Linked DNA regions of Macaca fascicularis. The protein of the gene in region 1 interacts with the protein of each later gene in a pairwise test. Links are inferred from orthologs where the notes say so. Each region holds a gene or a part of one and is shown on either strand. Other genes may lie near its edges.

Region 1 (5,857 bases):
TGGCCAAAGTTTTCTTTTTTTTTTGAGACAGTCTGCCCAGGCTGGAGCTCAGCTCACTGCAACCTCTGCTTCTGGGGTTCAAGCGATTCTCCTGCCTCAGCCTCCTAAGTATCTTGGATTACAGGCATCTGCCAACATGCCCGGCTAGTTTTTTGTATTTTTAGTAGAGACGGGGTTTTGCCATGTTGGCCAGGCTGGTCTCGAACTTCTGACCTCAAGTGATCCACCTGCATCAGCCTACCAAAAAGTGTTGGGATTACAGGCGTGAGCCACTGTGCCTGGCCACTTAAAAAAAAAAAAAAAAAAAAAAAACATTCCTACCATGATTCAGCCAGGCTGAGGGGAAATGAAAAAAAGGTTTGGTCTGGTGTGGGCTGAAGCTGTGAAAAGGCAGAGGCAGGAGAGCCGGGGGAGGGGTCTGTGCCAGGGAGGCTCAAGGAGAGAGCAGAGGCAGCACCTGCAGCCCGTCCCACGTGAAGTTCCTCTGGGGCCACCCGCTGCCCAACCCTTGGAGGACTCAGAGCTGTGTTTCATTAGGGATGGGTCCCCTCCGAGTCACATCCCGGGCCAGCAGGCCAGCTGGAAGGAGCCCCGGGGGCCATGCTGGACAGCAGACTGGCCCACACTGTCAGTGCACTGGGAAAGGCATGGGCAGCTGTGGGTAACACGATGGGAACAGCAGCTCTTGGACAGCAGTCCCCAACACTTGCTCCCCACAGAAACGTTTAGGCAGGGAGGCAAGGTAAGTAACACCTCTTTACTCAGCAAGGGGCTCCTCCCTCAGGACACCTTCCCCAGTGCCCCTCCAGGCTCCAAGAGCCTGGAAGGATCAGGATGCAGGCCTTTCCCAAGGAGGGCACAGAGCATGAGGAGGAGATGCCACTGGTGGTACAGAAAGCTCCCCATCCCCCTGGGGAGAGGTGTCAGTGTGCCCTCAGGGTTGTGAGGTCCTGAGCTTTGGACTCCTTGCTTGGTTAAAGGCACTGTCCCTTGTGCAATGTAGAGGAATGCTCCTCAAAGCATCTCTCCCGGGAACCAGGAGAGCCGCCCCTGCTCCCAATGCAACAAGATCCCTGATCGCCAGCTTCTTGCCTCCCTCAGAGAGAGACATGTCTGCACTGGAGGGAGCATGGCTGCCTAGCTCCTTGTCACCTCCTCCACCTCCCTATCTGTTCACTGGGACAACAGAGGATCCCTGAAGCCGCTTGAGGAGCTGGCTTTGCAGGTCTTCCTCAGTCACCTTCCACCAAAAGAAGTTCTCACCCCGAATCTTTGGGGGTTCATCCTGGATCCCTGGGCTCCGAAAAGCCACAGTCACCAGCACATTCAGACAGATACCATCACTGTGATCTCGGCCCAGGTGCTGCAGTCCAAGCAACCCCTTGATCTCCACCACCAAGTGGTGCAGGGTCAGACACTCCTGCAGCAGCCGCAGGATGGCCATCTTCATGCCACCCCTCTGCTCCACAGGGTCGAGGCCACAGGCAGTGACAGGCAAGTGAGGCATCCCCACTGTGCCCACCAGCACCCACACTGTCTGGGTGCTGGTAAAGGTGACCACAAGCCGCTGGCAGACCAGATCACAGGGTAGCTCTTGCGGCAGAATGAGAGGGTGCCTGGCTTGCTGGCGATACTGGGCAGCTAGCTCAACCAGGTGCAGGATGTCATGGGCTCGCAGCGGAGTGGGCAGGGAGCTCCGTGGGTACCAGGCAGCCTGCAGGGACTCTGCATCGGCCTCCTTGGAAGTCTTGAGAATTCCACCTGGGGGAAATGTGGGGGATGGGGCAGGGACAGGCTGTGTGGAGAGGAGTGCAGGTGTGGCAGTCACCAGACATCCCTGACCCAGAAGAGAGGCCCCCAGCCCAAAGGCTGGAATCTGCCCATGCCAGGCTGTGCCAGTCATAACAGGACTGGCTGTGGAGGGGCTCACTTCACCGAGGAGCTGGGGGAAAGGTGTCAACTGGCCCTGTTCACACTGCCTCCAGGTGGGCCATACCTGTGGGGTGAGCGAGGAACACGAAGCGGACCCAGGAGGGGCCCCGCTCCTCCACGGACAGCAGTGTCTCGGGCTCACAGTGCAGCCCCGCCTCCTCCTTCACCTCCCGCTGCAGCGCCTCCACGATGGTCTCCCCCGGCTCCATTCTCCCCGCAGGCAGGTACCACGACCCCCGGCACTCCCTCTTGGCCTCCTGGATCAGTAGCACCTCATCCTGAGGGGACAGAGGATCCTCACTTCCTGCCACAGCCTTCCCTCCCCGGGGACCAGGGGACACCTCAAACACAGTCGCCCGAGACTCCCCTCTGGGTGGACACCCTCAATCCGGCTAGCGCTCCAGTAGACCTGCCCTCGTGTAGCTGGGGGCTGCAGCCCTCTCCTCCCTGCAATTCGTCCCTCTCTGGATTTAGGAAGACTTCCATTTCAGGAAGGGCTGAGATTCGTGGAAGCTGCTTCAGGGGCTGGAGATGAGGCCCCAGAGTGAGGGTCACCATGTGTCTTGCACTGATTTGCGTCTGTACATGTCACTGTGTATCTCTCGCCTCCAACGGCGTGGTTTACAAACTGTGATGGGTCCTCACACTGGGATCTGGCTTTGAAACACGACCCCCCACCTCCACTCTGTACAACCCTGCCCTATGGCCCTGGCCCCTTCTAGTTGTCATTACATCGCCTACTACAGGGATCAGCACCAAAGGCCTAAGGGTAAACACGGATTGAGCCACTGCTACCCGGGGGACCCTGGGCATTCCGCTAGACTCTGGGGAAGGGAAGGAATGAGCCCTAGTGGGATGAGACAAACAGGTCCCGGGCCTCAGTTTCCTCTAATGCATATCGGGACGAACGCAGGACACAGATGCGAGTGGGAGTGGGAGTGCTTTGCAAAACTGGGGAGCGCCACGCACGCGGCAGCGCTGGCTGTGGCCGTTGGGTCTTCTGTCCCCACCTGGGCTGGCTGCGCGCTCCCGAGGCCCGGCGGGCCCGGCGGGCGGCCGCTCACCTGCTCGCTGAGGAACACGGCCAGCACCACGTAGCACACGTTCTTCCGCAGCCGCACGGGCACCGGCGGCTCCCCGGCCGGCGCCGAGTCGCAGCTCTGCACGCTCGGCCCCTGGCCCGCCAGCACGGCAGCCAGCGCTCCCGTCAGGCCCTCCGAGGCCATCGGGTCCCCCGGGGGGCGGCGGCCTGAGTACTCGCAGACTGGCTGAGCCGAGCCGCGGGCGAGCGTGGGCTCCTGCGCCCTCTCCCAGTCCCTGCGGCAGCAGGCCGGTCCCGCACGAGAACGCGGAAGCGCACGCGAACGCGGAAGCGCACGCGAGCCCTGGCCGCTGATAGGCTGCGCGGCGCCGCAGCCTGCCCGGATTGGCCGGCCCGCGGCAGTCTCCGAAGGGGCGGGGCCACCCGGGGCCGCCGGGCAACTGGGTGGGCGCCGGGCCAGCTCTGGAGGACCCCGCCCGGGTTCTGCCGCCTGTCAGTCCCGCGCGCTCAGGACGTCTCCCAGCCGCCCCCGACTCGCCTACTCCCCGAGCGCGCACTGGTCTGCGGGAGCTCCGACCGTGACGTCATCCTTCCTGCAGGGCGCGTTGCGCCGCAGGGGTAGGCGACTATGACGCGACAAGCCCGGTGACGTTACGGAGGCCCGGGGCCGCCCCTTGGACCCACTGCCCCGCTGTTGCCGTGAACACACGATGGCATTGCCGGAGTTGATCATCTCCCAAGTAACTTTCTTCTCACTCCATTCAAGAGTAATAAATGTCACGTGGCCTGTGGGGAGGGGGACATAAACCCCTGCCTTTAAGGAGATTCTGTTGTAGTTGGAGAGAGAGACGGAGTCCTAGATGAGGAGTCAGCTGAGGGTTCGAGACTAAGTGCTAAATGCTTGGTTTGGGCAGGAAGAGTGACAGGCGCTGGGAGGATGGAAGGGAAGGGCTGGGGATGGCGGGAAGAGTCGGGGGCTGAGAGAGGGCTGCCGTCAGCCGGCCCGTCCTCATCAGTGTCCCTCTGCCCACCGCATTTCCCACGCAGCTCAAGGCCCTCTCCGCTGCAGATGGTGCGCCCGGGGAGGGCGGGGGTGGGGCCCTGCTCCTCCATCCTTGTCGTCACCCTCCCACCTAGCGTGCAGGACCTGGCGCGTGGAGAGCAGGGTGGGGGTTGTTGTGGCGAGAGCCTGCTCCTCTCCCAGCTCTGCCTTTCCTCCTTCACCCGCCCCTCAGAACTGGAAGGCAAGGCCAGCTGGAAGGGATCTGCGAAGCAGGCCGTCTGGCTTCTCACCCGGCAGAGGCCACCCCTTTCTTCTCCCTCGGCTGGTTTTGTGTGCCTCCCTGCTTGATGGTGTGGACAAAGCTCAGGACCTGGAGCCAGATGGCCAGCCGCTGCTGGCTGGCTTGCTCTGTGCTCCTGGGTGAGCTGTGAGCCTCAATTTTCTTATTTGTAGAGTAGGGTCATAACAATTATTGTTTTACAGGGGTGTTGGGAAGGCACGACAATCGGAGAGGAGCTGTGTGGATTGTCCAGTACTGGGCACCGTCCCCAGGCAGCCCACCGACCCTCAGGAGTGGGCCCTCTCCACCACAGCACTTCTTGCTACAACACGCAAGGCCCACCCTCATGAAATGTGCCTTTTGTTACCCCCTAGAGACAGGATTTCACTCTGTTGCTCAGATTGGAGGTGCAGTGGCATGATCACAGATCCTACTACAGCCTTGATCTCTTGGGTTTAAGCTGTCCTCCTGCCCCAGACTCCTGAGTAGCTGGGGCTGCAGGTGTGCACCACCATGCCCGGCTAAATTTTTAATTTTTAATTTTTATTTCTTTGTAGAAACAAGGGTCTTGCTATATTGTCCAGGCTGGTCTTGAACTCCTGGCCTCACTGATCCTCCTGCCTTGGCCTCCCAAAGTTCTGTGGTTGCAGGCATGAGCCACCATGCCTGGTGAAATGTGCCTGTAGAGCTGCCTTAGAATTGGACTGAGGAACTTCAGCAACGCAGGATGTGTTTCTTTAGACTCCTCTCACCTGCTGATACCACAGGCTCCCTGGAGGCAGGGCCCCGTGTTAGGCTGTGGGATATCCCTACAAGGCCCATGAATTTTGAGGCACTTGCTGAATGCAGCTGGGCCAAGCCCTATCCTGGACCTCTCACCTCCCAAATAACTGCAGGCACGGGACCCCAGGACTGCAGAGCAACTTATCAACATATTTGCTCTGTGTGTGTGTGTGTGTGTGTGTGTGTGTGTGTCTTGTGCGTGCCCGCACATGTGTGAATCCCTCAGTTTTCCCACCTGTGAAGTGGGGGCAGGTTGGTCCCAGACTCCTGTCTGCCTCGCAGGGATGATTTGAGAGAGTGAGATCATGTCTGGGCAGGGCTCTGGGAGCTTCAGAGGCAGCCTAAGGTAAACAACAGAAAGCCTCACTGCCCAGAGAGCAGAGACCGCAGCAAACCATGGCTCCATGCCTCCCATTATCCCGGGGGGGAAAGCCCTCCCCAAAAGCCCCTTGTAAACTGGGAAGGGAGTGCTGAGACAACAGAGAGGCAGGCGTTCCCAAGGCCTTGGGAGAGAACAGCAGCCAGACAGAGGCTGGAGAGGCGCCGAGACAAGGGAGGCAGCTGAGGGAGGACGGGAGGCTGGATAGGAACCACCAGGGTCCCCATCAAGTCAACTGTGTGTCCTCCAGTCCCAGAGAGGGAAGAACCCTGGCCAGTGTGGTGGGCCACACAGCCTGGTGAATGGGAGTAGCCTAATGCTCCCAGCACCCACGGGAGCCAAGCTGGAGCCAGCCATTTCAGGGCATGTGTGTGCATGTGCCGGGGTGAGCGGGGGGAAGCACATGAGCAGGAAGGCCTGGGTAGGTGGCCATGGGGA
Region 2 (5,593 bases), on another chromosome or scaffold:
TTTCCGTTCTGTCCCCTGCGTGTCAGGCACCTAGCAGAGGCTGGTCCTCCAGCAGGATGCGGGGGAGGCGTGCTCTGCCCACGCAAAACGGAGACACTAAAGCGTCCTGGCGCGGCGCCCGCCCCCAGCCGGTCCTGGGAGCCTGAGTGACTGGGGCCAATAGAAGGGCGGCCCCGGACCGAGGGCACCCGGGAAAGACCGCCCCTGCCCCTCCCATTACTCTCTGGCCTCGCCCTGTCCCCTCCCCCACCTTTCCTCGCTGGGTGACCTTGAGCAAGTTACTTGGCCTTTCTGTGCCTCTGGCTCCCGCATGAAAAATGTGGACAATAAACGTACCAGGCTGTGGCTGGGTGCGGTGGCTCACGCCTGTAATCCCAGCACTTTGGGAGGCCGAGGTGGGCGGATTACCTGAGATCAGGAGTTCAAGACCAGCCTGGCCAACATGGTGAAACCCTGTCTACTAAAAATACAAAAAATGAGCTGGGTTCAGTGGCGTGCGCCTGTTAACTCCAGCTACTCTGGACCCTGTGGCAGGAGAATCACTGGAACCTGGGAGGCGGAACTTGCAGTGAGCTGAGATCACACCACTGCACTTCAGCCTGAGCTACAGAGTGAGACTTCGTCTCAAAAAAAAAACAAAAAAAAACAAAAAAAAACTACCACGCTGCTTGGTAAGGATCTTGTGAGGTCAGAGTCCTAGTCATGCCAGGTGGTTACTGTTGATGATCCCCGCCCACCCTGGGCTCTCACCACCTCAGGGCCCTGGGTCTTGCGGCTGCCTCTGCCTGAGAAACACTTGTCCCTACTGTACCCCAACCCCTGCCTCCCCCCACCAATTCTGCTTCTAGTCCGTCTGCCCCCCTAGAAGGTGAACAAACACCTGATGGACTTCTGTTTCCACTGTTGAGTCCTCAGTGTGCCTGGTGTCCTGGGAGAGAGGTCGCCCCTCGCCCCAAACCAGGTCAAACAGGAGACTATCATGTGAGCAGATCCAGACACTGGCCCCTACAGATGCCCCTATCCTGGCTCTCAGCCTGGGCAGGGTCTGTGCCAGGTGCTGGCTGGAGGCTGGATGAGATGACCAGATAGCCTGCCACACTGATGTCCTTCACTGGGAGCCTCAGTTCCTCTCAGCCACCCTTTCCCCAGGCTCCCAGCCACTTCCCCTTGTGGATTCCGGGCAGACTTCGTTCACCCGGTTCACTGGAGCCAGGCCACCTGAAGTCAACTTCCCTCCCTCCTCAGCCTCCCCAGGAGTGACCTGTACCCCAGTCCATCCTGCTCCACCCCTCATGGCCTCCATTCCCCCTTCTCCCTCTACCCATTCCATCCCTGCTGGCCCCCACAAGAGGATGGGTCCAGGTTTTGGGGGTTCTGAAGTAAACAACATGGGACCCATCCTTAAAGAATACAAAAAGCAATGCAAAATTATGTGAAGAGTCCACCGCCCCCTTGAGCAATGGCAGCTCTGGGGCTGAGGAAAGTCAGGGCAGGGGATGCCACGCACTGCTGCCCCATCCCCGGGGCCTGGTCAGGCAGGAGGGGGCCTTTCCTGACCCTGAATCGCTTGGAGGCAGACCCTCCTCCTGAGCACCATCTGGTAGGGACCCTCTACTCCTGCCCCAGCCCCCATGACAGCCTTGGACCCTTCGGTTCCTGCTGCTGGGACATCCCTTCCCTTTGATCTCAGCCCAAGCAAAACTGCCTCTAGCACCATTCCGGGTGCCCTAAGCAGCCCTTCCCAGCTTTGGCCTTAGTTATTGCCGGTCAGGCCTGGGGTGAGGTGTGGGTGTGAGGTCTTGGCCCCTGAATCTTCAGGGTCATATCTGGGGCCTGCCCTGAGAAATTGCACAACCTGTCAGCTGAAGGAAACCACAGCCCTGGTTTTGTTTTCTCATCTCTGAAATGGGGAAGCTCTCCTGCAGGCAGTGCCCAGGCCCAGGGTAGACAAAGGGTTTCCATGCCACAGACGGGGCAGCTGCTGGAGCTCCTACACAGTGGGACACGCGAAGGGCGCCTGCTGTGTGACCTGGGGCCCACGACAGTCACTGGATGCCTCTGCAGAAGCGGGTGACTGCCTCTATTCTAGAAGATTCTACCGAGGCCTGGCTCAGTGCCTGGCTTGTGTGTGTGCCATCTAGATCAAGCATTATTATGCTAATGATCATATCCAAAAACTCAGCTCAAGCATTATTATGTTAATGATCTTATCCGCCCCCCTCTCCCCCCTAAAGAAAAAGAACTAGGCAGCTCAAGGCCGCTTCTGTGGGTGTGGCTGGTGGTCACTTCAAAACAGTTGGGTTTGCAAAATAACCCGGGGAGAAGTTACAGAGCTTAAGAAATCCCCCAAGTTCCCATGATCCTTGCTTCCCTTTCCAGTCGCCCTTGGTGCCCTGTACTTCACTGTGGTACTGGACAGAAGAGCTGTGTTTTCCAGGAAGACTCGGCCAGGCCGTGTTTCGGGTCTCTGGATTCAGGTCCCAGGAGTCCTGACCAGAGAGCAGGTATGCGGGTGTGGGGAAGGACTGCAGGGGACTCAGGTCCACACCGACCCTGGGTCAGGTGATCCACATAGGAATATAAACAGGGACTGAACCTCAGAAAACAATGGCTGGGCCAGGTGCAGTGGCTTACGCCTATAATCCTAGTACTCTGGGAGGCCGAGGCAGGTGAAGTTTGAGACCCAGCCTGGGCAAAATGGCAAAACCTCACATCTACAAAAAAAAAAAAATGGCCGAGTGTGGCGGGACCTACCTGTAGTCCCAACTACTAGGGAAGCTGAGGTGGGAGGATCGCTTGCACCTGGGAGGTCAAGGCTGCAGTGAGCCGTGAGTCCCACTGGACTCCGGCCTGGGGGACGGAATGAGACCCTATCTCAGAAAAACAAAAGGGGGGCCGGCAGGTTAGAGCAGCTGGTCGTGTATTGCCAGTTTACTGACAGTGACTCCAGAGCTGAGTGAGAACTGGGCGCATGGCACATTGTTGGGATATCTGAGGCCTGAAGGCGCTGATGAGCAGCCACCAGGTCAGCAAGTGCGGGCTGGGTGGGGCCCGCGGTTCCAACAAACACTACGAAGTCCGCTCCTGTGGCTTCGGCCACCTCCCCCAACTCCCCGGGTCCTCCAGCCTGTGGGGTGCGAAAAACACCACTTCCCGGACCCCTCGAGGAACCCCGGGCCACCAGGGCCTCCCTGCACTGCCAACCTTGGGATCCCAGGCGCACACCCGAGGCCGGTGGTGGGCGTGCAAGGCGCACCCGGCCGCTAGAGGTGGGCGTGAGGCCAAGCGCGATTCCCCCAGGCGCAGGGCCGCCCTCCCCGCCTCGACGGACAGCCCCGAGGGAGCGCAGCGCTGCCGCAGCTGCTCCAAGATTCGGTCCCCAAATCCGGCTCGGTCCCCAAATCCGGCTCGGTCCACACCGTGTCACAGCCCAGTAATTAGGGAATCAGCGGCGGGCGGGGCCGGCTCTCGCGGGGCACCTGCGCTCCCCTGAGCCGGCCCACGTGGTCCGGGAAGTCCCGCCCGCGGTGGCGGTGAGTGGGGGCGGGACGCCGGCCAAGGGCTGGGGTCAGAAGGTCGGGGGAGCCTAGGCGTAGACGTGACGGGCGAACCGGGAGGCGCCCTCCGGACGCGGCAGGTGAGTGGGGACGGGAGCCGCGGGCCGCCCTCCTCGGGGCGCCGACCCCTGCCTGCCCGAGTCGCGGACGCCCGCCTCGGTCCCCGCTGCCCGCCTCCGCTCCCGGGCCACCGCTCTCCACCGCGGTTCGCCCCTCCTCCCCGCCGCCCGCCCCTTCCCCGCCACGTCCGCCGCCTCCCGCCCGCGCGGGGTATCCCGGCGCGAGTGGGACCGGGCGGACCCGCGGGACGACCCACGTGAGCGGCGGCGCGGCAGGGCGCGTGCGTGGAGGGTGCGCCTGCGCACTGGGCGGGCGCGGCCCGCGTTGCTGGTCGGCGGCGCCGGCGCCGGGGTCCGGGCGGCCATGGGGCAACGGGCGGCCGGGGCGCCCGGGGCCAGGTAGCGACGGCAGGCGGCGGCGGGGCGGCGGGGCCTGCGGGTTCGGTCCGGCATGTAGACGCCCCCGCAGGCGCCCGCGGCGGCGAACGGTGAGTGAGCAGCCCCGGCCCGCCGTCCGCCTGGGGTCGCCCGCCGCCTGGGGTCATCGCTGCCCGGGAGCGCGCGGCCGGGCGGGGAGACACCGGGCCGGCCCTGCCCATCTGGCCTGCGGAGGACGCCGTGGAAGCGCTGCCGGGCCGCCGCTCGGTCCTGAACGGGGCGCCAGCACGGCCCAGGGCGAGGCTCGGCCTTGGGGACGGGTCTGAGGGAGGCCGCTGTCCGGCCTGGCTCTCCCGGGCGGAGAAGGTGGGGCCGTCCAGCCCGGACCGCGCTCGTCGGTCGCCGCTGCGTGGGCGGCCAGGCCCTCGGTGTCCGCCTTCCGTGAGTGGTTTCAGCAAGCAGGAGGGGTCTTTGACTCGTGAAAGCTTAGAGGGGCCCACACCTAGTGGGAAAGTAGGAATAAAGGGTTCTATACAGCAGTATTGGCGTGGGATTCTCTAAATAAACACATCTTTGATTTAGTGCCCAGTACTTGCCAGAAAATTCCAATAGTCTATGGTGATGTTCCTACAGGCGGCTGCCGTCCAGTAGCCCAGATGTCAGCACCGGCCTTGAGCTCTAGGTCATCGTTTTCTTTCTTAATTGTGGGAACAGGGCGTGCCCAGCTCCCAAGGCCTGGTGGAGTTTTCCTTCCCAGGCCAAGGACCACCCCAGCCCTCCCATTCCTCCTCCCGAAGCAATGGAATTCCTTTTGGCTTCAATTCTGAGTAACAAGTTATTTTTCCTTTCTTGTTTGGAACACACTAAGTTTTACATTCAAAAGTTCATTATTCTTGGCTCTTGACGGGAATACATTTCAAAACTCTTCCTGTGTTCCACGTCTCTCTGACCGCCTTAGTTGGCCTGAAACTGGCATGTTTGCCTTAATAAGTTTTATTTTTCCCCTTCTTATGTCATCTGGTCTAAGAAGTAAGTTACTTTAACATCTTGTTAGATAATTCCCTTCAAGTACTGAAATTCCCTTGAACATTGTCCTCCCAAGCCTCTGGAAATTTCTTGCCCGCTTGGAACTTCCGTGTATGGCCTGTTTGTTCTCAGCAATGGCTTCACGGGGACTTTTGCAGCCACTTCATGGCGTTAGCACGCTGGTTCGAAGCTACTTGAAGAATCACAGGTGCCACCGCAGTACCCAACAAAATAGCTTCATCATTTGGAGGTGTCCCCTCGAGGTGTTTCTGTGTGTATATGTGTGTGTGTGTGTTAGAAACAGGGCCTCACTGTGTCCCCCAGGCGTGTTTATAGTGGCATGATTATAGCTCACTGTAACCTCAAATTCCTGGGCTCAATTGATCCTCCCACCTCAGCCTCCTGAGTAGCTGGAATTACAGGCCTGCACCACCACACCTAGCTGATTTATACAATTTTTGTAGAGATAGAGTCTCACTGTGTTGTCCAGGCTGGTCTCAAACTCCTGGCCTCAAGATATCCTTCTGCCTCCACTTCCCAAAGTGCTGATCTTACAGAGGTGAGCCACTTTGA

Evidence for each region. The genes of interacting proteins can lie anywhere in the genome.
Region 2: the proteins of NUDT18 (region 1) and NADK interact in a two-hybrid assay, tested with the Homo sapiens proteins (2 studies listed by BioGRID and IntAct). The two-hybrid records come from large-scale screens. The link is inferred for Macaca fascicularis from reciprocal best matches to the Homo sapiens genes NUDT18 and NADK.

What each region holds. Positions count from the first base shown.
Region 1 is NC_088382.1:25,178,844-25,184,700, forward strand, and holds NUDT18 (8-oxo-dGDP phosphatase NUDT18), read right to left. Parts: upstream 3,281-5,857; 5' UTR 3,159-3,280; coding exon 2,997-3,158; intron 2,211-2,996; coding exon 1,997-2,210; intron 1,762-1,996; coding exon 1,166-1,761; 3' UTR 744-1,165; downstream 1-743. UniProt on the Homo sapiens protein: Mediates the hydrolysis of oxidized nucleoside diphosphate derivatives. Hydrolyzes 8-oxo-7,8-dihydroguanine (8-oxo-Gua)-containing deoxyribo- and ribonucleoside diphosphates to the monophosphates. Hydrolyzes 8-oxo-dGDP and 8-oxo-GDP with the same efficiencies.
Region 2 is NC_088375.1:233,017,519-233,023,111, forward strand, and holds the start of NADK (NAD kinase), read left to right. Parts: upstream 1-2,377; 5' UTR 2,378-2,504; intron 2,505-3,570; exon of another isoform or gene 3,571-3,637; intron 3,638-3,923; exon of another isoform or gene 3,924-4,104; intron 4,105-4,291; exon of another isoform or gene 4,292-4,435; intron 4,436-5,484; exon of another isoform or gene 5,485-5,579; intron 5,580-5,593.